7 linked regions of the Mus musculus genome follow. Each later gene encodes a partner of the first gene's protein in a complex. Links are inferred from orthologs where the notes say so. Each region holds a gene or a part of one and is shown in the gene's direction. Other genes may lie near its edges. The genes, in order: Taf6, Taf3, Taf8, Tbp, Taf7, Taf13 and Taf10.

Region 1 (4,164 bases):
GAGACCAGTCTGGTCTACAGGCAAGTTCCAGGACAGCCAGAGCTATAAAGAGAAACCCTGTCTCCACCCCCACCCCGACTCAGAAGAGTGGGGACACAGATGCAAAAATAAGTGAGAGATTAGAATCAAGTCATGGGTGTCAATGATAAAAACATGTTGTTGGGTGTAAAGTGAAGCAATAATGAATCCAAAGAAAAAGTTAGAGTTAGGGAGCCACAGGATATTTATTCAGTGACCTGGCTTCCTCCCTGTTGGGGATGGGAGGGGTGGTTGGGGGGAGGGCATTTACTAATGTAGCCAGAGGCCATGCTGCTTGTTGTAAAATCCCTACAGTGCACCCCATCTGCAAAGCCTCACACCGATGGGCAACTTCTAAGTGGTGTGGTGTCTTCATCTTCTCTTTATGAACTTCAGCTGGGGACTTACTCACCTTTAAAACCCCTAAAGGGGGCCATCAGGCCTGTAATTTAAGAGCGTCTCTGCCAGGGCGGGACTCAGTATGCCTATAAGGAATGAGTATTACACCCCACCCATGCAGATTGTCCAGATTTTTAACAAGGAGAGAAACGACTGAGGAAGATGCTCCATAGAGCCAGCGTTACAGGTTCTTGAACTACAATTCCCACAATACATTGGGGCCCAAGCCCGCAAGAAAAACCTAGATCCTTCTGGATGCCACCTGGGAAATGTAGTGCCACCTTAACCCTGCTTTCCCTCCCTTGTTCCCATTCAAGTGTTACCAAGCTCCAACAGAACCTCTTTCAAGACAGTCTAGTGATCCATCTATCCTAGCCCATTTGATTCAGCCTAGAGTTAGAGAGGCAGGAGGTAGATAGGGAGATGTAAATAGCAACTACTCCGTTTCTGTACCTTCGCATTTGCTGGGCAAACGTTCTGTGTCATCTTCCTCCTCTTTTGTCGCCTCAGCCCAAGCACCGTACGCTGCCAGGATGAAAAGCAGTATCTCCAGCCGCACAGGTCCCATGATAAAACGCAGTCCACACATACAACCACCCTTTGCCTTCAGACCAACTTCTGGAAGGCAGCGGGCCCTTTAAATTTAGGCGAAGCCCGCAGCAAGCTTTAAAAAAAAAAAAAAAAAAATCATAGAACGGTCAGCGCATGCTCAGAGCCAGCCCGAAAGTGGGTGGAGCGTGATGGCTCAGTTTTGTGGCGCCTTCTGAAGGTCCTGACAGCTGGGTAATGAAGATACAAATTGAAGTAATTAGAATAGAGTAATATGATCTTTACACATGCACGTAGAATGAAATTTTTATATAATTTCAGACTGTGAAACGATATGGTCTATTTTGACATAGGGAAGAACAGTGATAACTTTTTGGCTTCTGCCAGGACCTACTCCTGTCAGGGGGCGGGGCCAAGATGGCGCCGAGCGCCGGGTGAGCGGCGCTTTGGCAGCGGTGAGAGGCTTTTACTGCTCCCGGTGCTTGGCTGGCGGGGGAAAGTCTGAGGTGTATCCGTGAGGAGACCCTTTGAAAGGGCCCATGTGAGGACTGGGAAGAAGACGGTTGGTTGTGTGTCCGTGCTCGTGGGGACCCTGTGCGTGACTGCACTGGAAGGATGGTGGGGCGATGTAGTGGCTTGTGAACCTCCTGTAGCGCTGCCCGGGTAATCTTCGAATCACTTCCCTAGCTGAGAAAAATGATGTAAAGATATAGCTCAAGTTATCCCTTCTCTAAGAAGTCTTCCTGTCGCTTCCACTGATCTGAGAAACTCCCGAGGCTGCTAGAGTGTTTTATGAAACCTTAGTGGCAAGGGTACCACCACAGAGGACTGGGACCCGACCAGGTACAGAGTATGTGCTGAATAATTGTATTTCCTGTAGACAAGATTTAACAAAAGTCTGAGAAGACTTGGAATGAAAAGAACCAGTCCCTAGCACTCAGTTCTGAACACTCTTGAGGTTGGTTTCATGTCCAGTGTCAGGCAAGCTCCTTTCCTTTTAACCACAGAGTAAACTCCAAGCTTGAGTCTGTGTCTTTTTCATTTTGGTAATTGTTATACCAAGTATTTAGTGAACACTTACACCTTATTCATGCTGGGCAGTGGTGGCTCACGCCTTTAATCCCAGCACTTGGGAGGCAGAGGCGGGCGGATTTCTGAGTTCTAGACCAGCCTGGTCTACAAAGTTAGTTCCAGGACAGCCAGAGCTATACAGAGAAACCCTGTCTCGAAAAACCAAAAAAAGGAAAGAAAAAAAGAAAAAAAAAGACTTATTCATATATTTAACAATGCCCTAGGCACCAGATAGGTCAGTGAACATAACAGACATATTCTTGTTTACTGGTGGGGTAAGGATAATAAACAAGAAGAAATAATAGCCAGGCTTGGTGGTAAACAGCTGTAAAAGGCAGGAGGCTCTCCAAATCAAGACCACGGGATGAATTCCAGACGAGCCTGAGACCCAATTGTAGAAGGGTTGTTTAACATGTGGAAGGTCTTAGATTTAATCTAGAGTGATTTTATATATATACATATTATATCACTATTATTAAGAAGAAGAAGAAAACATAGCAAACAGGTAAAGCCAGGCATGGTGGTATGTGCTTGCAATCCCAGTACTTGGGAGGTAGAGGCCAAAGGACCAGTGTTGTCTACCTAGTGAATTTGAAGCCAGTGGGGCTATAGGAGACCTGCCCCTAAAGAGAGGTGGGTGGGGTCAGGTAGTCAGCCAAACACGTTTAGGAAGAACACAACAAAAGCTATAAAGCCAAGTACATGTCTGTCAGATTTAAAGGACAGCAAGGAGAATGATGTCAGGGTAAAGTGGGAGGGGGCGGGGCAGGTGATCAGAGATATGAGAGAAAAGAAAGAAACCATCTTAGACAGGAACTTATTGCAGAGTCGGGATGGCCTCAAACTTGCTGTCCCCACTTTAGCCTCCAGGGTACTGGGAATATGGGTGTACAGCATGTACACTCTGAAGCCTGACATGAAACCCAAGGCAGTCCACTGAAATTAGAAGTGTTAACCCCTACACCTGGACAGGAGGCAAGGGGAGTCGTTATAGGAAAGAAATAGTTACCTAGTTTATATTTTGACAGACCACTTTGGTTTTAAGAAACAAACGCACAAAAAAAGCCAAGATGGAAATAGGAACACCTTGTCCAGCGACTGAGTTCAGCAGATGAATAGGTGATAATCATCTGGGCCAAAAAGGGTCGGGTTGGGCTGCCTGGTAAGTTTTAAAGTTCTGCTGGGAATCAAACCCAGGCCCATGTGCATGCTAAGTACCTTACTACTGAACCACATCTTCCAGCCTGGTGGATTTGATTTAAGCGTCCATATAAGAATGACTTGTGCCGGATGTGGTGATGCACGCCTATAGTCCCAGCACTTGGAAAGTACCCGGAGTTCAGGGCCATTCTCAGCCACATATGGAGTAAGAGACTAGCCTAGGCTACAGAGGCCCTATTTAAAAAAAAAAAAAAAAAAAAAAGCCTGAGCCAGGCAGTGGTGGTACACGCCTTTAATCCTATCATCCAAGAGACAGAGGCAGCCAGATCACTGACTTTGAGGCCAGCCTGGTCTACAGAGCAAGTTCCAGGTCAGCTGGGGTTACACAGCCTTGGGGTGGAAGGACAGGGGACAAACTGGTCTGGAGATGTAGCTCAGTTGTTAGAGTATTTCCCAGACCACAAAACTGTAGAGGTACATGTCTGTAATCCTAGAACTAGGAAGGTAGAAGCAAAAGAATCCAGAGTCAAGGCTAGCTTTCATTACAGAGTTTAAGGTGTGGCTACAGAAATCCTGTACACAAAACTAAGAGCAAACAAACAAAATTGTCACTGGGCATGTTAATACATGCCTGTAATCCCAGTACTTGAAAGGCAGAAGCAGGAGGCTAGAATTAGAAGTGTCACGGCTGCATAGTGAGCCCCTGTGTCTAAAAGGAGAAAGGACAGGCCAAGCTGTTGTTTGGTAGCTTTGCTTTGAGGGTGAGCTGCAAGGAAGGAAGGAAGGAACTCAGATGTAGGGTTTGAATTATTTTTCCTTTTTATCTTACCCCACCCCACTATCAGGATCTCCATCTTTCCATCCTGGGGAGGCATCCTTCCAGGGACAGGAGCTGGAATTCCAGCATGGCCGAGGAGAAGAAACTGAAACTCAGCAATACTGTGTTGCCCTCTGAGTCCATGAAGG
Region 2 (4,207 bases), on another chromosome or scaffold:
AGTGTGCCCAGTCATTTGGGGTTTAGTTGATTCCAGATGTACTAAAGTTGACAACTGAGACTAGCCATCACAGCTGCCTAGAAACAATTTATTGGAGAGGGCACATAAACTTATATACTGAATAGTCAATGGTAGATATGGCAGGCACAACTAAGAAATGGAGTAGTTAAATATAGCCGAAGTAGGTTTGGTTTAACTCAGTAGTCACTGGGATTGGTTTGGCTTTAATTTGAAACTTTTTTTCCTGTTCTGTAACTAGCTCTGTAGACCAGGCTGGCCTTGAACTCAGGTATCTGCCTCCCTCTGCCTGCCCAGCACTGGGATTATTAATCAGGGTCTACCAGCAGTTGCCCAAAGTGCCAGTTACTGTGGAGGCTCACTTCAGTCCCAAAAGTCTAAGGGCAGATGTTGCAACATAACAAGATTGAGACTCACGGGGGGGGGGGGGCGGGCGGGGGCGGACGACGGGATGGACGGACGGGACAACCCACTATTTCAACCAAACCTATTTATCATCTCATCACAGTTTCTGTTACCGTCAGGCAAAATGCAACTAGGGCTGGAAGAAGCCCTGGGAAAGGCAAGCAAGCATTCTCTGGACAAAACCAGTCTCAAGGATTTACAGAGTATTCGACCTCTGTAGGGAACTGCATTCTCCACGTCTTGGATAGACTACGTATTGTGACTAGTAAGACGCAAACTAGAACTAGCTATAAACTGCACTAAAATAATATCTTGCTCACTACTGGGGAAGAGGGGGGCAGTTCCCACTAATTGAACACGTAGGCATTTTTCCTTAAAACCAGCCATATTATGAAGAGCATTGAACGACACAATGAACAACATGAGTTTATTAGCTCTGATTGTTTTTTTTAGAGCCGGAGTCTTTTTCGGTTTTTCGGTGACTCTAGTTGGCCTCTAGCTTATGATTGCCTCAGCCTCCTGAGTGAACATCTTGGATTTCACTCAAACCTCCCAAGTGGCCACTATTTCATTCTGAATACTATCTTTCATCTTTTAATTTCGTTTTTACTTTTTTAGATTTAAGTAAAGGAAAACAATCGAATCCGCGTTCTGCGGAGTAGCTTATATTCCCAATTCTCTAGTTTCACACTTGAATCTCTATCAACATTATCGATGTTAAGTCCTTAACATTCCACTGCCTCCCTGGTTTGCCCCTGAACACACCGAGGGTCACCTCTTACTTTTCCATCAGCGGGGAGAGAAAGACACCGGCACCTGTTGTCAGGGAGGCGCAGACTCCACCTGCGCCCAGTCACTCGGCTTCCGGCCGGCGTCCAGGCTCTAGAGTCGATCCCGAGACGATCGCTCTCCTCCCACTGGGCGGAGCCTGGGCCGCCTATCTCTCGGCCTTCTGCTCGTACTGCCTCGCCCCGGCGGCCGTCCAGCGGGAGGCGGAGCGAGTCCAAAATGGCGGCTCTCAGGCTGGCGCGCTCCGTGCTGCTGAGGCTTTGAGGTGGTCGCTCCGGGTCGGAGGGGGGACGATTTCCCCGCCGCGGGGCCCCCAGAGAATGAATCGGGGGCTCTGCTGAGGCGAGGCGGCAGGGCTGGAGAGCAGTGGCAGCGAAGGGCTGCGGTGGCGTCCACGCAGCGGGATGTGCGAGAGTTACTCTAGGTCGTTGTTGAGGGTCTCGGTGGCGCAGATCTGCCAGGCGCTGGGCTGGGACTCGGTGCAGCTCAGCGCCTGCCACCTCCTCACCGACGTCCTGCAGCGCTATCTGCAGCAGCTGGGCCGGGGCTGCCATCGGTACTCTGAACTCTGTGAGTACTGGGGCTGGGTTGCGGGAGGGCTGCCCCAAGCCGGTCACGAGTGACACCTTTGCCCCTCCGGACCCCTTTGGGCATCCCCTGCAGGGGTGGCGTTCCGAAGCCGGCTTCGACATGGGGATCCTCTCAGACTCCGACCGTCTGGGGGGCTTCCACCGTCTCCTGCGAACTCCAGTCATCCCTTAGGTGCCTCTTCCTCATCCGCTAACTTCCCGCCACCGGCAGGGAAGCGGGGTCCCGGCTCGCAGCCACACACCCTCTCACCGATGCTGCTCCTGGACCAGTGCTTCGGTCTCTCTCATTGTCTCGGGTCGGCTGCGGCCAGAGCCACCCCCAGAATGCTCTCCACCTCGCTCACCTTGGTCTTTTGCCTCCCTTGCTCGCAAACTACTACAACTAGTTGTCACAGGCGCTCCGTCTACCGGCCGTTTCTTACAAGGCTGGCCATTCCTGAGCTCCCAAATAGACTCGTTGACAGCTCCGCTCAGTCAGGGTCGCTGCCTTTTTTTTTTTTTTTTCTCCCCTCTCTATCTGTTCGTTTCACAGACTTCGCCTACTACTTTTCAAGGCAGGTTTTGTCGATTTCGCTGAATACCTTTCAATAAGCATCTCAGTTACGCACGGCGTCCTTCCTCTATGCTCTTCTGTTAGTGTTGATCTAAGTGTGATGGGAAGCATCACTCGGTAATTTGGGAGGTTTTCCGGGTACTCAGTGTCGCAGTATGTATTAACTTTTTTTTTTCTGGTTCATGTCTCTTTAATGAGATTAAAGGCTCCTGTGTATGTTTTGGGAGTGAGTAAAGATAGCACAGTCCTCCGTGTTGCCCCTCTTCAGGGCTCCAGCCCTTTCAGGTGTGTTCTAGGAGAGTGGGGACGGTCCCACATGGAGGACTGCAGTTGAAACTAGGGCTGAATCCTGGTGGCCAAGTAATACCCAGTTTCCCTCTTGAAACTACTTATGGGATGTCCCCACAACTAGAAGCCAGCCCCACGGGAGGAACTTGAGACATAGAATCTGGGGACAGTGTATTGACTTTTAAGTGAATGCCCAGTAGTGTCTTTACCCGGTGGTATTTAATGATTTGTAGAAGGTACAGATCATTTTATAGATGTGTGATTTTTACTGATGTATGAGTGTGTGTGTGTGTGGGGGGGGGCGGGGATTATAACGTTCATTTAAATTCCAAGATATGACGTTTAAGGTGGCAAGTTGGATAACTAAATGAAGTGTTTTATAGAGTAATTTGTTCTGCTACAGTGGTTCCTACTTTTAAAGTGAGGGCCTATAGATTCGCCATACCTTCAAGACTCCAAATGCCATTCCTAACAAAATAATGAAACCCCAACAAATCAGATCCTATTTATCTTATTTTGTAATTGTTTGTGTATATGTGTACCCTGACCCAGAAGATAAATTGATTATATTCATATTCTGCGTAAGTACCTAATGTGCTGATTGGAGCACCCTTGATTGTATTTGTATTACTCTAGTACCTACTGTGCTAACTGATTGGAGCATCCTGATTTGTGTCACCCTAGGGTTGTTCCAAATAGGAAACAGTTGGCTAGTAAATTAATGGGTAGTCCACAAAAGACTTAGTGAATGAATTCCTAAAATGCACATCTTTTTGAGTGCTTGATTTAACGTGTGTGGTGGTAGAATGATCGTCTAGCTGTTGCTTCCTTACCTTCAAGCCCCTTCTCCATTGACCTTCAGTATATTGTTACTATTATGTTTAAGATAGATTATATTTTGTTACCTAGTTCCTGAACTAAAGGCAGATGTATACCTTTTGGGTTCTGAAAATATCCCCTGAATACATAGTTACCTTCCATGCCAGGTAGTTCATGGATTCAAGCATTCCAAAGTGTCCAAGAACTCATTGTGCTTTACTGAGAACCTCTTCATTCCCCTCTCTCTCCTCTCTTCCCTCCTCCCCCCGCCCCCCATTTTATTTTATGTTTATGTTTGAGACATGGTCTCTCTTCATAGCCCTGGTTATCCTAGAGCTCAGTATGTAGACCAGACGCCTGCCTCTGCCTCATGAGTGCTGGGATTAAAGGTGTGGGCCATCACATTTATCATGAACCCTTTCCCCTCCATTCCCTGGCCTTTTCTTTTGTTTTTTTGAGACAGAGTTTTGGGGTTTTTTTTGTTTGTTTGTTTGTTTGGTTGGTTGGTTTTTGTTTTTTGTTTTTTTTGGTGGTGGTTTTTTCATATCCCAGGCTGTCCTGTAACTCTCTCTGTAGACCAGGCTGTCCTTGAATTCACAGAGATCTGCTTGTCTCTGCCTCCTGAATGCTGGGATTAAAGATACGTGCTGCCACTGTCCAGTATGAAACTTTTTATAATTACCCATCTTTTTCTAGTCAGTTTTCTTCTCTTCCTTTTCGCTCTTTTTTTTAATGAGAATATGAT
Region 3 (3,500 bases), on another chromosome or scaffold:
GCAATCTGTCTAATCCTCTGGCTCCTTGTCCTCTAGCTCGTTCTGTCTTCACCTGTGTCTAGCTTGTTCTCTGTATAACTGTCCCACGAAAACGACCTCCCTTCCTCTTTCTCTGCACTACCCCTGAAGTAGCTTCCCTTTCCTCTCTCTCCTCATGAGGGTTGGGCAGATCCTATTTTGTCAAACCTTTCTCTGATTCATCACTTTGTCTGCCACTCAATTAGAACATGGGTGCTTCCTTCTACAAACTAACTTTATCTTCATTGTTTGGGATTAAAGGTGTGTGCTAGGGCTAAGCCACACCACAACTAGAAACAGGTTTTTCTAGTAAACACCACAATCTCAAGGTTCACAGTATGAACAAATATCCTGCAACAGAATCTGTGCTGCTGTGTGTGAATGCACACAAGTGCCTGTTTGAGCCCTGCCTTTGGTCACTTGGGCATATAAATAAATAAATAAGTGTATATATATATATATATATATATATATATATATATATATATGTACATACACACACACATACACACACACACACACATATATATATATATATATATATATATATATATATATATATATAGCATAACTGGTGGCCCACCTGGTAATCTTATTTTGAACTTTGGAGAAACTCTGGCCTTTGATCCTTGTAGACATCTCAGAAATCGGGAGAAGTGCTAAGTCATACTGTGAGCACACAGCCAGGACCCAGCCCACACTGTCGGACATCGTGGTCACATTGGTTGAAATGGGTAAGTGTATCTCCGTTGTAGGATCACCAGAGAACGGGGAAGCCTGGGGGGGTTTCCATGTCTGCTGAGTCTTAATTCCATCCTATTTCCCCTGATCTGCTTTTAGTTAGAAAGGTATGAGGAAGGAGTCCTTGGACCCTGTCTCAGAGACCTCCCAAGTCCCTGTGGGAGTTCTCTTGAGAGGCAGAAGAGTGGCTAAGCTGGGATTTAAGTCCCCATTCCACACTGATAGCTCCCCTTTCCTGTTCAGTATCACGCCAGGATCAGAACATGGCAATGACTAGTTTTCTTGTCCCTAGGCTTCAATGTTGACACTCTACCTGCCTATGCAAAACGGTCTCAGAGGATGGTCATCACTGCACGTAAGTGGCTTTGAACTCTGATACTTAGTACGTACTCAGTGATTGTAGTGTGCCTTGGAGGGAGGAGAGGGCAGGCACCAGAGAGGCAGCTGTTTTCCTGCTGTGGGCTCCCTCCCTCCCAGTCCTTGGAGTGGTGAGCTGCTCACAGACTGGCTGTGTCCATGCAGTGGGATTAAACTGTGAAGGTCAGTCTCCAGGCAGCTGCACCATGTCTGAGCTGCTGCTGTTACATTTTAGCCCCGAAGAGCAAATGACCATACAAAAAACTGTGACAGTTCTTGCTTCTCTAGATGAGGGTTTGCAAGGGCTGGGGTCTGTGGACAAAGTGTGCTTGCTTTTGTTAGTAACAGTTTCTTGGCATACAGCTTATTTACTCACCGTATGTGATTGCTTTCACGTGGCAAAGGCAGAGGTTTTCGGTTTGCTTAATCTGAACTGTTGCTATTTCGTGGATGCGCCTGTAATCCTAGTACTTGTGAGGAGGTGGGGGTGCTCTAGAATTCTAGTGTACTGTAGATAGGGAGGGCTACGCTAGCCTGAGCTACACAGGTGGACTTGGGCTCAAAAAAGAAGCAAACAAAAATCTAAAATACTTATCATGTATCCTTTTATATAAAAAGATTTATTTAGTCTGCTTTAGATAAAAGTGGGTCCCTGCCGGGCGTGGTAGTGCACGCCTTTAATCCCAGCACTTGGGAGGCAGAAGCAGGCGAATTTCTGAGTTTGAGGCCAGCCTGGTCTACAGAGTGAGTTCCAGGACAGCCAGGACTACAGAGAAACCCTGTCTCAAAAAAAAAAAACAAAAAAAAGGGGCTGGTGAGATGGCTCAGTGGGTAAAAGCACCCGACTGCTCTTCCGAAGGTCAGGAGTTCAAATCCCAGCAACCACATGGTGGCTCTCACAGCCATCCGTAACGAGATCTGACTCCCTCTTCTGGAGTGTCTGAGGACAGCTACAGTGTACTTACATATAATAAATAAATAAATAAATCTTAAACCCCCCCCCCCCAAAAAAGTGGGTCCCTTATGCTAAGTAGGGAGTAACTGCTTTAGTGTTAGGACTTGAGGGGGAAACTTGTTTATGTTTGGTTTGGTACAGGTACAGGATTTCTTTCTGTAGCCTTCGCTGTCCTGGAACTCACTCTGTAGACCAGGCTGGCCTCGAACTGAGGGATCTGCTCGCCACTGTGTCCTGAGTGCTGGGGATAGAGGCGTGCAGCACAACCTCCTGGCTGTACTCGTATCTGTACGTGTGTGCATGCTCATGCCGCGGCATGTGGGTGGAGGTGAGGACAACGTTGAGGACAACGTTGTGGAGTTGCCTGTCTCCCTCCACCATGTGCCTCTTAGAGAGTGGCTTGGTGACAAGCCCGTTTCCCCACTGAGCCATCCCCACAGCCGCAGAGAGAAGCAGCTTGTCACAGATTGAAATATCAAGCAGGGTTGGAGACATTAACTAGTTGCGATCTGTTGCAGCTCCAGTGACCAATCAGCCAGTGACCCCCAAGGCCCTCACTGCAGGGCAGAACCGGCCCCACCCGCCACACATCCCCAGCCATTTTCCTGAGTTTCCGGATCCCCACACCTACATCAAAACTCCGGTGAGTTTGGGAGCTGCCCAGGGCCTGTGCGTGTGTGAAACATGACTGATGGAGGTTGCAGGGGAGAGTAACCTTCAGCTCCCTGAGGACTTTCCTACGGGGATGCCATCTTGATATGCAATTACCCCTTTCATCATAGCCCTTGGAAGGCTGAGGCTGAAGAGTTGCTGTGCATTTGAGGCCAGCCTGAAGTACAGAGTGAGATGTTGTCTCACAAAGAGAGACAGAAGGGGAGGAAGCACAGAGTAAAGCAACCTGGCCAGGAAGAGTTAGGGTTTATTTGAGAGGTTTTATGTGTGTGAGGGTTTCATCTGTGTGTGTGTCGTTGGATCACCTAGAATTGGATGTGGGTGCTGGGAATTGAGCCCAGGTCCTCTGAAAGAATGGCCAGTGCCATTTTAAAGTTATTTATTTTATGTTGGTGAGTACACTGTAGCTTCTTTTTTTTTTTTTTTTTAAGATTTGTTTTTTAAAGATTTATTTATTTATTTATTTATTATATGTAATTATATGTCCTCAGACACTCCAGAAGAGGGAGTCAGATCTCCTTACGGATGGTTGTGAGCCACTATGTGGTTGCTGGGATTTGAACTCAGGACCTTCAGAAGATCAGCTGGGGCTCTTACACACTGAGCCATCTCACCAGCCCAAAAGATTTATTTATTACATTATTTATTATATATTATTTATTTATTATTATTATATGCAAGTACACTGTAGCTGTCTTCAGACACACCAGAAGAGGGTGTCAGATCTCATTACGAATGGTTGTGAGCCACCATGTTG
Region 4 (4,235 bases), on another chromosome or scaffold:
TAAGAAAACGTTTGGATTTACTCATGGCGGATAGAAAATTAAAAGTCTGACCATACCAAAAAAATTAACCCAATTACAGAGCAACGACAACTCGGATGTCACATTGGCGAAGTGGCACAGCGTTTGAGACGGGTTAGTAGTTCATGCTGCATTCAAGGCCAATCAGGACGCATGTCAACTGTGTGGTGTACGCAGCCACGAGACCCAGGAAGCAATACCAGATTTCTTTAGCCAGAATATGATGGTTAATATTGTTAATTTCACAGAACTTAGCATCATGTAGGTAAAACCCATGGATGCGTCTATGCGGGTGTTTCAAGGTTTAATTGAGGAGCGAAGACCCAACTAAAATATAAGCGGCGCCACCTCATTGCCTGGATTTCCCGACTAAATAAAGAAGAAGCGAACTAACATTTATCTATTTATGTTTCTGGTCTGTGGATGCAATCCAGTTGGCATGCTTCCCCCTGGGTTGTATCTCCTCAAACAGTAAGACAACATAAAACCCGCTTCCCTTATATTGCCTCTTGACAAGCCTTTGTTAAGTTTTCTCAATTCCCCAGTCTTCTGAGGTTTCCTGTACTTTCAAGAGAAAATGTTTCCTTTAGGGGAAAATAGATACACAGTACTATTGTACTTATTAGAGTCTGTGTAAATAGACAACCTATACAACACCTACACACATAACACACAGATACTGTCCATCACACACACAGACACACACACAGAGAGAAAGAGAGAGAGAGAGAGCGCTAACCTTAACCTAAAGGAGCTCATTACCTCGTTGATAATGCAAAATACAAGGGAAAGGAAGTACGCAGAACAACACATGTATATGCCTTAGATGAACTTCAGAAGGAAAAAAAAATTAAGATATGTTGGAATCAATCAAGCATTATGAAGCAGCCTAAGAAACAGCTGACGTTTTCTTGTGGCAGCAAGGAAGAGAGCTGGTAGTGACCGAGCTAAAAATAGAAATGAATCTGTGACTACAAAGTCGCTTGTTTTGTTGTTCTTCCTTGAACGTAAGTTAACATCTACTGAGAACATGATGAGGAGCGTTTGCTTGACATTTTCCTTAGCCACCTCACAAATCTCAAAGGGGAGGAGCCAGTAAGCTTGCCAAGCAATCTCTGGAGTTCGAAGCCAGCCAGTTCTACAGAGTGAGTCCCAAGAAAGTCGGGGCTACACAGAGAAACTCTTTCTCACAAAAACAAATCATGGAAGACTGAGGATGTAGTTCAGTGGTAGAACGCTTGCTTGGGCTTGATCGCCATTGCCACATCCCCAACTGTTTCCGCTACACACTCAATAGATCTCTCTTTGACAGCTAGAAAGGGCCGTCGGAGGCCCCGCCCCGGAACTGCTGGTACCCGGCCCGCTCGTTTCCTTCCCAGTGTCTCACAGCTTAAGCACAACAAATCGGACTGCAGTCAAGAGCGCAACTGGCGGAAGTGACGGCATCAGATGTGCGTCAGGCGTTCGGTGGATCGAGTCCGGTAGCGGTGGCGGGTATCTGCTGGCGGTTTGGCTAGGTTTCTGCGGTCGCGTCATTTTCTCCGCAGTGCCCAGGTAACGGTCCTTTCATCCTTTTCTCTGCTTGGAGGCCTTAATAAAGGCGACTTCTGCAGCGGGTCCCCGGAGTTTGCCGGAGGAGACGCGAGTGGGCGCGCGGCCGGGCTGGGAACGGTCCTCCGCGCGCGCTGCGGCGGCTCCGCGAGTAACCAGTCTCTGGACCATCGCCTCGGCGGGGTCCTGAAACCCAGTACCAAGGGTGAGCGTCTCCGAGGGGCTGGCACCGGACAGCCCCGCGCACCGCACGTCTCAGCCGCTTCCCCCGGTGGGAGAGTTTTACCCAGGCCTGCAGCCGCCCGTTTTGTCCCCAGTAAGAATAATTCTGTTAGGAAGCGGTTCTCGAGACTCAGCATCTCGCCAGAAGCCTGAGAGTCAAGCTAATCGAGATTAACATAAAAACGCATGCTGCTTTATTTACACACTGTCGGTCTTTAGCCTCAAGTTAAGGTGGTTTTCCAAAACTCCGGGTAGGCTTCTCTGGAAAAAGATGCCGGACCGGTTAGGCAGACGCTTGAAGACTGTGCGGAATCGGTTTCCCAAATACTCAGTTTGATGGCTCAGTTTCCAAAAGATGAAAACCCAGAAAACAGCCTAAAAATAAGTTTGTGCAGCGATTATTGCGATTTTAAGATTGCAGACGAGAAAAGGTGGTTTATATCGTCTGCAGGTGTGAAATGACTTCTGCGAAGCGTACAACAAATTCCCCAGTCTATATAATCAAGCGTTCAGTAAACTTCGTTTGCAGAAAGAGATCTGGATAAATAACTGGTTATACTTTGGACATGAAATCCAACTTTTTTTTTTTTCCTCAACCAAAGCAGTGATTGAAATTGAATTTTCAGTCTTCAATTTTCTCAGATTTATCTGCTCTTTGACACAGGAGATACTCAAACTGCACCTTAAAATCCTTAACTGTTTCCATTGCCTGTGTAATGACATCTTACATTCTGAATTATGCAACCCCACCTACAGCTGCTTTGTCATCTTTTGTAGTGACTTTACATACTGAGCCTGTCACACACTGCATGCTCTTCCAAGGCTTTGTCCCCCCCTTTCCCTTCTGTGATTTGTGCTGCACCTAGAGTGCTGATTTGTGTTGTTTTGTTCCTTTTGCTCCTTTTGCTAGACCTGTGTTACATTGCCCCTGCTTTGTGCGAGTTCCGGCCTCTCAGAAGGTACTTGACTTTAGTTATGTCTTTCTTAACTTTTTAAAAGATTTACATATGTGAATGTTTTGCTTATCTGTCTATATGTGCACCACATGCTTGTCCGGGCCCATGGAAGACAAAAGAGAGCATTGGACTCCCCAGGACTGGATTTACAGCTAGTTGTGAGTAGCCATGTGGGTGCTAAGATAATCAAACCCAGTCCCTCTGAAGAGCAACAGTGCTCTTAATCGCAGAACAGCTCTCTAGCCCCTTGACTTTAGTTTGTATTCTCTCTTCCATAGCATCCATTCATGAGCACAAATGCCAAGTCCTGTCCTAGGTTTCAGCTTTTCAACATTTTGCCTTGCTTAGTAAATGCCTGCAGTTTTTTTTTTTTTTTTTTTTTTTTAAGCATCTTTAAAAAATTGAGGGTGGGCCTTTGCCTACCATTTAGGAGGATCTGGGTTCTATCACTACTACCATTACAAAGGAAAAACAACACATTTCATAGTCTCTTAGTCTTTATTCATATTTCATGTCCATGACCTCGAAAGAGATGATGATTAAAGAAACCCAGTTCTAGGCATAGTTTTCATTAATATGCTCTGATGAGATAATGTTTCATCTTTTGTTTAGTCTGCCTTTAATTGAAACACAAACAACTACCTAAAGCATATTGTGTCCAGTTCAATATGTATGGCGCTTTATGCTTGAGGTATTGTGAATGGTATAAAACTGAGCAGCATATTTAAAATCAAGAAGTGACCTAATAGACTGTGCAAATCATGCCGATAAGTGTTCTCTTCTAACAGTATAGTTTGTTTAGGAATTCTTTCCCCCAACCTCAAGTCCTTTGCTGGGGGGTGGGGGGTGGGAAGTGAGGGTGGAGGTTGTACAAAGGGCTGGCCCCTGATGCTGTGAGAGATGGCTCAGAGGTTACGAGCACTGCCAACTCTTCTAGAGAACCAGGTTGGAGCCATCTCTCACACCCTAAATTTGATTTTTGTTTGTTTGTTTGTTTGTTTTGTTTTTTTGAGACAGGGTGTCTCTGTGTAGCCCTGGCCTTCCTGGAACTCACTCTGTAGATCAGGCTGGCCTTGAACTCAGAAATCCGCCTGACTCTGCCTCCCAAGTGCTGAGATTAAAGGCCACCACTGCCTGGCTACAATTTTATCTTAATCTAAATATTTATTGTCTAAATTCACAAAGAACACACAGGTTTCAAAGTTACAAGTTGTATATCCAAAGACCCATGTTTATTTTAAGGATACATATGACCCCATGGTAGCTCAATTCCAGGGCATCTGACCTTCTCTTCTGGCCTCGGAAGGCACCAAGGCATGAAAGTGATGTACAGGCATATATGTAGACAAAATACACATATAAAATGAATTACATTTATGTGAAGAATTGGCTGTGAGAGTTTGTTCTCTCCTTTCACCATTTGGATAAATGCACAATATTAGGATTAGCAGCAAACGCCTTTGCCTGATGCACCGTTTCTTGCCAGCC
Region 5 (4,172 bases), on another chromosome or scaffold:
CCACAATCCAGAAATGGAGGGCACACCAATGATTCAGGTCTTGAGGCTGGAATCTACATGAAGATCTTGAGGCATAGTGGCCATAAAAAGCTTAGGTCCATGCAAGGTAGTATACACCTTTAATCCCAGGAGACTGAGGCAAGCAGATCTCTTATTTCAAAGCCAGATTTGGACAAATCAGGTTCCAGATCCATGAGTGGTGGTCCACACCTTTAATCTGGGCAGAACACTCTGCTGCAGGACATTGGAAGAAGGAAGACTCACTCTTTGCCTGCTTGCACTTATTTGCCAGCACATCTGCTGCTACCTACGTCTTCAGGATACAGAAGACCAGGTGAAACAAAGTAGCCTCTTGGGACTTCCCATTTAGAGCTGCCCATTGTTGGGTGGCTGGACTACAGACTGCAAATCATTACAATAAATTCCCTTAATATATAGGCATTCCACAAGTTCTGTGACCCTAGAGAACCCTAACTAATACAGACAGTATCAATGAGCAAAATAAATAATAAAGACCTAATTTATCAAACTTCATAGTTCTGGGAAAGTCTCTAAATGTACCAGCCTTGCTTTTTGGCTTCTGTAGGTCAGTCTCTAGCTTATGGTTCTTGTAATAAAAGTATGCCAATGCAGGACATTTGTTTGTGCTTAAAAGCTCACCATGACAAAGTCTCAGGGCCAACTGGGATCCAGAACACCCAGTGTAGTCACTGGCTAGTTAATATTTGTTGGCTTAAACCTGTGTCTGAACAGCGTTCTTTGGTGGACATTCCACAACAAAATCAGACCGTTTGTGTTTCAGACAATTCTGTTCTAAATGAACCTGCGTCATCATAAAAACATTTGTTTACAGTTATAGCTATCTGACATATTACCAAAATATCGTATCATACATATCACACCTGGTCCTCTGGATCCAAAAACACAAATGAAGCCAAAGGCTTAGTTCCTTTCAAGGCAATAAGCATGATTTTTCGCGTTAGAGAGTGAACAGCAATACTGTATCATTTCACTGTTTGGGCCACTTTTACTTTGTGTTGTTTCCAATGTTTTAGCGGAGGCCGACTGGGTACGCCCTGGGAAGTAAAGATGCTTTCTGCAGGGACGACCTTTATCTCTGGTAATCACTCTAGAAACTGTCCCGACCCGCGACTTCGTAAAGTGCTGTCTTACGGGGTAAGTTTATGTTTTACTTTTTTGGAATCTCCATCTTGCATTTCCAAAGCAAAGCTTTTCTGGAAACAGCCTATACAGGGCAAGTTCTCACGAGAAGACGTAGTCACGGAACGACGTAATTACGAAGTGCGCCTGCGCGCGCCGCTAGTACTTCCGGAAGAGCGGCGGCCAGCCCCTCCGTGTCTGCTTCCGGTCTGTGACGTAGCGCCGCGTCTGCTTCCGCTCTGACGGAGCACTTTCGTTTTCTTCAGTGAGAGGAGACGTGGGAAAGTTGTCTCCGGTGTTCGGTTCTCTGAGAGGGAGCTTTCGCGCCGCGGGTCCTTAGCCGTCTCATTGTTAGCGCATAGGTCGCCCTGCCGGGCGGCCGAGAACGCCAAGAAACCGGAAGGCGGACGCACCGCTCCCTGCTGCTTTGCTCAAGCCGCGAAAAGCTAAGTTCACAGTCGCTGGTGAACTGTAAGTACCGGAGTCGAAGAGTTCGTTCACTCCCTTTACTTATTCTTTTTCTTTAATACTTTTATTTTATATCTTATTGGAGAGAATCTGTGGATCGGGGTTGTCTGCCAGACTAGACTGACGGTCTGTGCCTAAAACCCCTCAGTCGCTGCCGTTTCTTTTGCTGTTCAGGTTATCAGCAGCGTCTTTTAGAGGCTCTAATATGATACTGCATCTAGCAGACGAGTGAGTTTAACAGGGACAGTGCCAAAGTTTAAAAGTTTAAAGACTAGACTTGGGACTTAATTAAAAAATTAAGACAAAATAGGCACTAGCTTGCGTTCCACTTTTGTTGCTGTTTTCCTTGGAACTTGGTAATTACGAATTTAAAATTCTACTTAATGACATTGCCCCCCCCCTTTAATTGTTGTAGGAGCTCACAAGGAATTAAAGATGAGTAAGAACAAAGACGATGCGCCTCATGAGCTAGAGAGCCAGTTTATCTTACGACTGCCCCCAGAATATGCCGCTACGGTGAGGAGGGCAGTGCAGTCTGGGCATGTCAACCTGAAAGACAAACTGAGCATTGAGTTACACCCTGATGGGCGTCACGGCATTGTCAGAGTGGATCGAGTGCCCTTGGCTGCAAAATTGGTCGATTTGCCTTGTGTTACGGAAAGCTTGAAAACCATCGATAAGAAAACCTTTTACAAGACAGCTGATATCTCTCAGATGCTTGTAGCCACAGTAGATGGTGACCTATACCCTCCTGTGGAGGAGGCAGCTGCCACTGCTGATCCCAAAGCAAACAAGAAAAAAGATAAGGACAAAGAGAAAAAGTTTGTTTGGAACCATGGAATTACTCTACCTCTAAAAAATGTCAGAAAGAGACGGTTCCGGAAGACAGCAAAGAAGAAGTACATTGAATCTCCGGATGTGGAAAAAGAAGTCAAGCGTCTGCTGAGTACAGATGCAGAAGCTGTCAGTACTCGTTGGGAGATAATTGCTGAAGATGAAACAAAGGAGACAGAAAATCAAGGCCTGGACATCTCTTCTCCAGGAATGTCTGGCCACAGGCAAGGCCATGACTCACTAGAGCATGATGAGCTTCGAGAGATATTCAATGACCTCAGCAGCAGCAGTGAAGATGAAGAAGACGTAAACATCCTTGACACTGAGGAAGATCTGGAGAGACAGCTACAAGACAAGCTAAATGAATCCGACGAGCAACACCAAGAAAATGAAGGAACCAATCAGTTGGTTATGGGAATTCAGAAGCAGATAGATAACATGAAAGGCAAGCTCCAAGAAACCCAAGACAGGGCAAAGCGCCAGGAAGATCTCATTATGAAGGTAGAAAACCTGGCTCTCAAGAACAGGTTTCAGGCAGTTCTGGATGAGCTCAAACAAAAAGAAGACCGCGAAAAGGAGCAGCTTAGCTCTTTGCAGGAAGAGCTGGAATCACTTCTGGAGAAGTGAGCTTGTTGACTTTAGTCCTTAGACTAGTCAGCTCAAGAAAAAATTATTTTCAGAGTAAGGTCTTGAAATACTTTTTTTTTCTTTGAAATGTTCTTATTCCCTGAGTTTTGTTGAAAATTTTTTGATTGTTTTTCAGAACTATGGTGGTGGGTTTTCATTCTTAAGAAAATAGGATTACATAGACAGGTTTGTTGTAGGGAAGATATAAGAAAGATGAGTGAAATGAAAACACTTGAACTTTTAATCACAGGACTTTATTACAATTTGTTTCCTAAAAGTTTCTAGTCCTTTTTTTTTTTTTTTTTGGTGCTAAGATCAGTAATAAGCTAGCCTACAGGCAGTGAAGTTAATTTCTTTTAAAAGAAATATATTTTTTTTTACCTCAGCAAGTTTCCATGTTACAGAAATGCAAGTTTTTCATAAAGGTTGTTTCTTATACAATAAAAGCTACTAATTTTCACTGTTTATGATGTTGTTCTATGAATACTGAAAGTTGAGGTGGTTCATGGAGTTTAATGACTGAATGGTGTAGATCAAGATAAATCCTGTTCTTTTGTTTTTAGGAAAAGGAAAGCACCAGGTAAGGAAATGGAGAAATTCATTGTTGCATTATATATTAAGGTTCAGGTCCACCCACTTCATCTGGAGGTTTATGAACACTGGGTCTAGAGCCTTCTTAAACTATCCTAGTTTTTATGGATGGATATCTGTATCTTTTTCTTAAGCACTAAGGTTATCTGTAAAATATTGGAAGCAGTTATCAGATAAACTATTCCACATGCTTAGATTAAGATTATATTTTAACTATTGCCAATTTAACTGCTACAATTATTTAATAGACTGATGTTTATTCATATTGTTTCATTAGTATTTCCCAGTATGAAAACCTGTGTCCTGGTCTGGGATTTTAAAATTTCATATACAGAGAAAAATTCTGTGTGTTTTTTTAAATACTAAAAAGCTGCCCCTAGGCAAACTAAGTATGAATTCAGAATGGAAGTCATCTGGCCCCTTTCATTGAGAACTTGCCTTCTGTATTGCTGTTGACGGCTGCCAGAGCCTCTGAAGCCCTAACTAGTCTG
Region 6 (4,208 bases), on another chromosome or scaffold:
CCCTATTTCCACCTTTTCTGTGTTGCCATCTTTCTGATATATTTAATGTCTCTGCTTTTTGTTTATTTGTTTGTTTGGTTTGGTTTTTCGAGACAGGGTTTCTCTGTGTAGCCTTGGCTGTCCTAGAACTCACTCTGTAGACCAGGCTGGCCTTGAACTCAGAAATCCGCCTGCCTCTGCCTCCCAAGTGCTGGGACAAAAAGCATGGACCACCACTGCCGAGCTTTGGTTTTCTTGTTTTGACTATGTAGCCCTGGCTGGCCTCTAACTCAAAGAGATCTTCTGGCTTCTGCCTCCCAAGGCAGGGATTAAAGGCGAGTGCCACTACACTTAGCTCTTTCATAATTTTAAAATATTTTCTTATTATTGTGTATGGAAGCCAGAGGACAACCTTGCAGACTCTGTCTTCTCACCTTTCACTTTTTATACAGGTCCCAGGGATTGAACCTGAGCCTTAGGCTTATTCCGCTAGAGCTTTTATTGACTGAACCATTTCTCTAGCACATCTTTTGTAATTTAAAAAAAAAAAAAAGAAGAAGAAGCAAAAAACGGCCGGGCAGTGGTGGCGCACGCCTTTAGTCCCACCACTTGGGAGGCAGAGGCAAGCGGATTTCTGAGAACGAGGCCGGCCTGATCTACAGAGTGAGTTCCAGGATAGCCAGGGCTACACAGAGATACCCTGTCTTGAAAAAACCAAAAAAAAAAAAAAAAAAAAGCGCAAAACAACCTTCCAACCCAAACTACATATATATATTGCGTATTAACGGAGGCAGGAAAGATTGCTCCGTGGTTAAGAGTATTGGCTGCTTTTCAAGAGACTTGAGTTTGATTCCTAGCCCCTATATAGCGGTTCACAATCGTCTATCTCTAGTTCCAGGAAATCGGTTGCTCTATTTTGGCTTCTTTGGTGCTGCACACACATGGTACACATACTTGCCGGCAAAACACCTATTTACATAAAAGAAAGTAGATATATAATTATATAATAATATAGATACTATATATAATATCATGGGGCTTGTGTACTTGAGTGGATCAGCCCCAGAGGCAAAAAGTCATCCTATTTTTACAGGCATTTGTGAGCCTCCGTAAGTATGCACAAATTTATCACTTATGTTTTCTGAGACATGGGCTCATGAAACTTGAGCTGATCTCGAACTCGAAGCCCTCTTGCCTCTGCCTGCCAAGTGCAGAGATTTCCCGGCGTAGTATACCACGCCTGGCTTCTTTGTAATTTTTAATTCCTCCTTCAGGATTCCACACGTAAGAGCACGTCACTGACTTCCAGCCAATCCCAAGGCCGGGGTTGGGTAGGAGAATGAACGCGCACGCCTCTCTGCGCAACGCTGGCCAGGCCGGAAGTGACGTACGTATCTTATAAAACTCGCCAGCCGCCGGTGGGCGGGTTCAGAAGGCTGGCGAGCAGCTAGCATGGCAGATGAGGAGGAAGACCCCACCGTGAGTGAGCGCCTGTCTCAGCCTGGTTCCTCACTCCTTTCGGATCACTAGCGGAGGCAGAGTCTGACCCGCTTGTGCCTTAGGGATTCCCGCCGAGAGTCCGGGGGCTCCGCGGTGTTTTCCTTTTTTGGTTTACCTTAGTCAGTGCGTGGGACAAGACGGGAAGGAAGAGTAGAAAGGGTCTCTCTTTGACCTGGATCTTCCCGACACTAAGACATCTAGAGGGTCATAGGAGATCAAAGCTGATTAAAGCGGAACCAGCAGCCCAGATGCTGACAAAACTAGTGAAGATAGCGGAGAAACGATGAACTAAAGACAGGAAGCTTGGGATCCAAATTCTCCTTTGGCATCGGTTTTCTTGTGAGGTAGAGTCCAGCCCAGTTAAGGAAAGTTCTTAGCCCTTTATCAGTTGCTTCCGATGACAGCAGAGAGTAGATTTTAAACTACCAGGTTTTTACAGTAGTCTTGCTTAGCAGTGTGACAACTAAATTGGCTAAAACCAAACCCAGAACCTGAGGTCGTTAGAACTTTACACACGCACGGTTGTAAGGTTGTTAGCAGCCGTAATAAAAGCCTTCTTGCACGACTTGAGAATTGGACTAGGGCTTATGAGCCCTTTGGTGCTAAATTTTCGTGGTTTTGTGCAGTTTGCTTTAGCTTCTCACTTTCGAAAATGAAAAAGGGTCACTGGGCGTGGTGGCGCACACCTTTAATCCCAGCACTCAGGAGCAGAGGCAAGCGGATCTCCGTGAGTTCAGGCAGACACGGGCACATAGTGAGACCACTTTGTCTCAAAAAAAAAAAAAAAAAAAGTGTAGAGAGATAGCTTTAGTGCTTAGGAGCATTTGCTGTCACATCTGGCAACCTACAGCGATTAGACCTAGTTTGGCCTCTATGGGCAACAGCAGGCACATTTATGTAGGCACACAATACACATAAATAATAAATGCCTTTAAAAAAAAAGATGAAAAGAGTGCAGGAGGTGTAGCTCAGTGGTCAAGCATCTGTTTAGCATCGTGAGCTCGTGGGTTCAATTCACAGCACTCCACAAAGAGGGCGAGCAGGAGGAGACTCGAGGGAATATCACGTGCACTGCAATCATTTGCCATGTCCGTGTTTTAAAATTTCTAGTTTGAGGAGGAGAATGAAGAAATTGGAGGAGGAGCGGAAGGTGGCCAGGGGAAGAGAAAGAGACTTTTCTCGAAAGAATGTAAGTTGTACTTTCTAGTGTTTTTATTACAGGTGGTGAAAGCTTTTGAACATGTCTTTTCAGAGTATATTGTTCTGCATATGTTTGTTTATAGGGACAGTGTTCTCAGAGTTGCCTATAAGGTTGCCTGTTTTTATTCTTGGTGTTTGTTTGTTTGTTTGTTTGTTTTAAAGATAGGCTCTGTATAGCCAAGGCTATACTGGTGCTTACTGTTTAGCCCATGCTAGCCTTGGTTTGGTGGTAGTCCTGCTTTAGCCTCTCAAGTCCTGGGATTGCAGGTGTGCATCCCATGGTCAGTATAAGTCTCTCTCATGTCTACTAATTCTCTCTGTGTGACATAAAATAATGAATGTGATCACCTCTGCCCTCCTCCTTGAGGCAGGGTTTTTTTGTTTTGTTTGTTTTTGTTTTTCTTTTCCTTTTTTGAGGCTTGGTTTTTCTGTGTAGCCCTGGCTGTCCTAGAACTCTTTCTGGAGTTTAGAATAGATCAAGATCTGCTAGTCTTGAACTCACAGAGATGTGCCTGCCTGCCTCTGCCTCCTGGGTGCTGGGATTAAAGCTGTGAACCACCACCACCCAGCTGAGGCAGGGTTTTTAGATCCCAGCATGATTTCAAACTTGGTATGCATATGCGTATAACCTTGAACTTGCAAGAACCTTGCAAGAACCTTGAACTTCTGCTCTCCTATCTGTTTCCCTGGCTCTAGATGTACAGGCATATGCCATGGCTCCCAGTTGACATTTTGAACGTTGTATCCCTCTTGTGTCCACCTTTCAAATGATGTAAGTTGAGGCTTTGGACTAAGGCATAGCTCAGGGCAAGAAGGTGGTGAAGTGTGCTGTGGAGATGACAGTGCACTAGCCTTCCATGGTGCTCCTTAAACAGACAGGTAGCCCTTGGGGCAGCGCAGGGTGAGCGGTGTCCACTTGTTGTGCCCATACTAATTCCTGAAAGGCCCATGAGACTGCACTCTCCATCCCTTCTCCCAGGCTCCTTGGCTGAGCCTTGGGAAGTACAGCGGCAGAGATTTATAAATGCCTGAGTACAGTAGGATTGAAAAATTCTAGAAACTGCAAGATCAGCCTTTAACTCTCTAAATCTTTTTTGATCCCAGCTCTTGGGAGAGATAGGGATGGGAGAATTTGAGTTCAGGGTCTTCCTCATTGAGTTTGAAGGCAACTTCGGCTGTATCTTACAACCATAACAGAAATCCTCACTAGTACCTTCCAGTTTCGTTCAAGTCTGACCACTTCCCATTCTGTCTCACTGATGCTAGTTACGTGATTTGTGTGTGGTTTTACTCCTTATGTGGACATATGAAAACGACCCTTACACTAAAGTGCTCTAGGAATGGTATTCACCCTGCTGCTTGTCCAAACCTTTAGTTCAGTTTCAACTGCTCTACTTTTGTGATGACAAAAATTTGGAATCTTCGCAGGCTTCTCCCACTGACTTAATAGAATCTTCATGTCTCTTCTATTTTTGCTGGGGTTTTTTTTGTTTGTTTGTTTTGTTTTTGTTTTTTGTTTTGGACAGGGT
Region 7 (3,300 bases), on another chromosome or scaffold:
ACTCCAGGGATGCTGTGTTCATTGTTCCATTCTTAGTTTCTTGCTCTTATCATTTTATTATCATCCCTTGACAGATCACTGACATCTATACCCACAGTGAGTGATACCTCAAATGTGAGATACCTCGTTACTTCATCTCCCTCCAGCCCAGACCTAAACTATTTCATCTCTTAATCTATGATATAATGCCTCTTTCAAACAAGCCAGAAACCTATAACTCTTAACTCTCATCTTTTTCACCTCCTTACTAACTTCAAAAAGTTTTCTTGACTGCCTCTCAAGTATATCTTTATCGGCTAGTGTGGTGATGCACACCTTTAATCCCAGCACTCAGGAGACAGAGGCCAGGCAAGTCTCTGAGTTTGAGGCCATCCTGGTCTATATAAAGAGTTCCAGACAAGCCAGGCCTACATAGTCAGACCATGTCTCAAAAATACACATATGTGCACACACACACATGCACAAAATACTGCATTATCTTTGAGCCCATGTTCTTTTTTCTTCTAAACTGCAGGAAGCACTTGGGGAGAGGAAAGGCTTCCGAAGCCCCTCATCTTCCAAACCAAGCAGTCTATGTATTTGTGCAAACCCTTCAAAGATTACTGGGTAAAAGTCAGAGACATTGAAACTTGCCTTCAAAATCGGGAAATAAACATTGCTAATGTCTCACACTTGGAATTAAGCAATGAATGTTAGTTTCCCTTTCTTCTTTGCACTGCACCTACATGTAGCTGGGAAACAATCATACAGTATTGAAATTGTCAGTTTGTTTGCCTTCCTTTTCCAGACAGTCGGTGCTAGTGAACTAGAATCTGATTCTTAACTTTGTATTCCTAGGTCCCAGCCCAAATAGAAATTAAATAAATGACTGTTTAAAAAAAAAGTCTGTTGTATTGTAAATGTGTTTCACACAAGACTTTGGCATGCTATTTCTTCAGGGTAAAACACCCATCTCTACATTTACAGAGGTACTCTCCTAAGCCCGTTGTGGGTGGGAGGGACACACATCAAATCCACTGCAACCCTTAAAAGACCATGAAAGGGAACTACAAAGAATGCATGAAGACCGTCAGGAGACTGGTAATGAAGTGTCTGGCAGATGAGTCCCCAAGCCAGGTCGTTGAACGAACCCAGATAAAGTATTCAGTCCTGGATGCTCTGCGGCCCCACCCGGGCCGGGGTGGAACCGCAGGGTGGCAGCCACATCTCACACAGCTCGCCTCCGCCTTGAAGTCTACACCTCATCCACTAACAGCCAACCTAAGGTCGCCCGCGGCAGCTTAGAGTGGTGGGCGGGAACTGTAACGTCACGCAGCGTGCGCCTGGGCGAGCGGAAGCGGAAGCGGCTCTGTTCGCCGCCTTTCCCACCGGCCCCATGAGCTGCAGCGGCTCCGGCGCGGACCCCGAGGCGGCGACCGCCTGTGCCGCCTCGGTCGCGGGTCCGGCACCCCTGGTGTCGGCTCCCGCTGCGCTGCCCACTAGCACGGCCGCGGAGAGCAAGGCCAGCCCCGCGGGGACAGCAGGGGGCCCCGTGGCTGGAGTCGCCACTGCGGGCACGGGCCCCGTGGCGGCACGGGCAGGGGAGCCGGCAGAGCGGCGCGGGCCAGGTGAGGGAGGGCCGGGCCGGGTGAGGGAGGAGGGCATCTCGGACTAGGTGCCGGGGCAGGGGAACCCTGCGCCTCTCACCTGTGCTGTTGATTCTCCTTCAGCTTCGGTGGCAGCGGGCGGCGCGGCTCCCCCGGAGGGGGCAATGTCTAACGGGGTTTACGCCCTACCGAGCGCGGCCAACGGAGAAGTGAAGCCCGTAGTGTCCAGCACACCTCTAGTGGACTTCTTGATGCAGTTGGAGGATTACACACCTACGGTGCGCTTCCCACCTGAACAAGGCCACCTGGCTCGCTGTCAATGCCTTTGAACCACACCTTCGTTCTTTCAAGCTTTCTCTGCTATGAAGCCATCTCTTTTGTTGTTTGTTTTTTCGCGACAGGGTTTCTCTGTGTAGCCCTGGCTGTCCTGGAACTCACTTTGTAGACCAGGCTGGCTTTGAACTCAGAAATCCGCCTGCCTCTGCCTCCCAGGTGCTGGGATTAAAGGCGTGTGCCACCACTGCCTGGCATGAAGCTATCTCTTTAGTCCTCCGTCCCAGCCAGCGCATCAATAGGCAGATCTAACACTGATGGCTGTTTAATTTGATTTTTCAGATCCCAGATGCAGTGACTGGTTACTACCTGAACCGCGCTGGCTTTGAAGCTTCAGACCCACGCATGTGAGTAAACTCGGAGCAGGTTAGACTGTTGAGTGCTAGGTGGAGTTTGCTAAATATTCTCATTACTACCACCCTCTTCCTCTCTAGAATTCGGCTCATCTCACTAGCTGCCCAGAAATTCATCTCAGATATTGCCAATGATGCCCTACAGCACTGCAAAATGAAGGGCACAGCCTCTGGCAGCTCCCGGAGCAAGAGCAAGGTGTGAGAGGCTCACCTTCCACTGCAGTACAGGCCTAACTTATCCTGAAAGCCTTTTGGGGAAGCAGAATCCTAGGGGAGGTATTGGGCCTGCTCAGGGTCACCCACAAAGGATTGGAGTCTGCACTTGTGCTCAGCTGGTGGTCTTCCCTCTTTCCCCCAGGATCGCAAGTACACCCTAACCATGGAGGACTTGACCCCTGCCCTCAGCGAGTATGGCATCAATGTGAAGAAGCCGCACTACTTCACCTGAGCCACGCAACCCAGATGTATTTGTCTTTCCCTCTGTCCCCACACGAGCCTGTTTTCATAATAAACTTTATTGTGACAGGCGGGGCTGATCCCTCCCATGTTGGGAGACATCATGTGGCAAGTGACAAAGCTCTGAGCCCAGCCCCTTTTGGGGCTACAGTGGTAGGGATGGGAGCAGGGAACAAGTCCCATAACTGGGGTAGTACCATGATTAGAGACAGGGGAGGCAACCAGAGGTCTTTAACTTTGGAGAAGTGTACTCCCCCAGCCATGTTTTGACACTTCTGGAGTTTGGGCAAGGACCTGAAGGTCCTACTTGTCCTGCATCTTCTCCAAGATAGGCACAATCATGTCAAACTTGGGTCGCTTTGCAGGGTCTTCATTCATGCAAATCTTCATGAGCTTACACACATGGGGGGAAATACCTGGTGGGATGGTAGGCCGAAGGCCTTCCAGTGCCACCTGCAAATTACAAGGAATAAGGTGAGCTTCAGAATTTGAGTTCATCATATGGGTAAAAGCCTTTGATCCTTGAATGGTAAGATTACTATTTATCTGTATAAACTGCTGGAAGCGCTTAC

What was found.
Region 2: Taf6 (region 1) and Taf3 share a complex: the UniProt entries of both Homo sapiens proteins name them as parts of the TFIID basal transcription factor complex. The link is inferred for Mus musculus from reciprocal best matches to the Homo sapiens genes TAF6 and TAF3.
Region 3: Taf6 (region 1) and Taf8 share a complex: the UniProt entries of both Homo sapiens proteins name them as parts of the TFIID basal transcription factor complex. The link is inferred for Mus musculus from reciprocal best matches to the Homo sapiens genes TAF6 and TAF8.
Region 4: Taf6 (region 1) and Tbp share a complex: the UniProt entries of both Homo sapiens proteins name them as parts of the TFIID basal transcription factor complex. The link is inferred for Mus musculus from reciprocal best matches to the Homo sapiens genes TAF6 and TBP.
Region 5: Taf6 (region 1) and Taf7 share a complex: the UniProt entries of both Homo sapiens proteins name them as parts of the TFIID basal transcription factor complex. The link is inferred for Mus musculus from reciprocal best matches to the Homo sapiens genes TAF6 and TAF7.
Region 6: Taf6 (region 1) and Taf13 share a complex: the UniProt entries of both Homo sapiens proteins name them as parts of the TFIID basal transcription factor complex. The link is inferred for Mus musculus from reciprocal best matches to the Homo sapiens genes TAF6 and TAF13.
Region 7: Taf6 (region 1) and Taf10 share a complex: the UniProt entries of both Homo sapiens proteins name them as parts of the TFIID basal transcription factor complex. The link is inferred for Mus musculus from reciprocal best matches to the Homo sapiens genes TAF6 and TAF10.

The regions. Positions count from the first base shown.
Region 1 is NC_000071.6:138,184,427-138,188,590, reverse strand, and holds the start of Taf6 (transcription initiation factor TFIID subunit 6), read left to right. Parts: upstream 1-1,364; 5' UTR 1,365-1,421; exon of another isoform or gene 1,422-1,629; intron 1,630-4,043; 5' UTR 4,044-4,103; coding exon 4,104-4,164. Other genes in the region: Cnpy4 (protein canopy homolog 4 precursor), read right to left, coding at 871-1,006. UniProt on the Homo sapiens protein: The TFIID basal transcription factor complex plays a major role in the initiation of RNA polymerase II (Pol II)-dependent transcription.
Region 2 is NC_000068.7:10,045,810-10,050,016, reverse strand, and holds the start of Taf3 (transcription initiation factor TFIID subunit 3), read left to right. Parts: upstream 1-1,407; 5' UTR 1,408-1,616; coding exon 1,617-1,782; intron 1,783-4,207. UniProt on the Homo sapiens protein: The TFIID basal transcription factor complex plays a major role in the initiation of RNA polymerase II (Pol II)-dependent transcription.
Region 3 is NC_000083.6:47,495,792-47,499,291, reverse strand, and holds part of Taf8 (transcription initiation factor TFIID subunit 8), read left to right. Parts: intron 1-653; coding exon 654-752; intron 753-1,051; coding exon 1,052-1,114; intron 1,115-2,589; coding exon 2,590-2,714; intron 2,715-3,500. UniProt on the Homo sapiens protein: The TFIID basal transcription factor complex plays a major role in the initiation of RNA polymerase II (Pol II)-dependent transcription.
Region 4 is NC_000083.6:15,498,453-15,502,687, forward strand, and holds the start of Tbp (TATA-box-binding protein), read left to right. Parts: upstream 1-1,435; 5' UTR 1,436-1,572; intron 1,573-4,235. UniProt on the Homo sapiens protein: The TFIID basal transcription factor complex plays a major role in the initiation of RNA polymerase II (Pol II)-dependent transcription.
Region 5 is NC_000084.6:37,641,405-37,645,576, reverse strand, and holds the start of Taf7 (transcription initiation factor TFIID subunit 7), read left to right. Parts: upstream 1-1,372; 5' UTR 1,373-1,632; intron 1,633-2,044; 5' UTR 2,045-2,064; coding exon 2,065-3,090; 3' UTR 3,091-4,172. UniProt on the Homo sapiens protein: The TFIID basal transcription factor complex plays a major role in the initiation of RNA polymerase II (Pol II)-dependent transcription.
Region 6 is NC_000069.6:108,570,291-108,574,498, forward strand, and holds the start of Taf13 (transcription initiation factor TFIID subunit 13), read left to right. Parts: upstream 1-1,408; 5' UTR 1,409-1,431; coding exon 1,432-1,458; intron 1,459-2,589; coding exon 2,590-2,668; intron 2,669-4,208. UniProt on the Homo sapiens protein: The TFIID basal transcription factor complex plays a major role in the initiation of RNA polymerase II (Pol II)-dependent transcription.
Region 7 is NC_000073.6:105,742,394-105,745,693, reverse strand, and holds Taf10 (transcription initiation factor TFIID subunit 10), read left to right. Parts: upstream 1-1,355; 5' UTR 1,356-1,375; coding exon 1,376-1,607; intron 1,608-1,709; coding exon 1,710-1,864; intron 1,865-2,201; coding exon 2,202-2,266; intron 2,267-2,353; coding exon 2,354-2,468; intron 2,469-2,630; coding exon 2,631-2,720; 3' UTR 2,721-2,800; downstream 2,801-3,300. Other genes in the region: Ilk (integrin-linked protein kinase), read right to left, coding at 3,032-3,181. UniProt on the Homo sapiens protein: The TFIID basal transcription factor complex plays a major role in the initiation of RNA polymerase II (Pol II)-dependent transcription.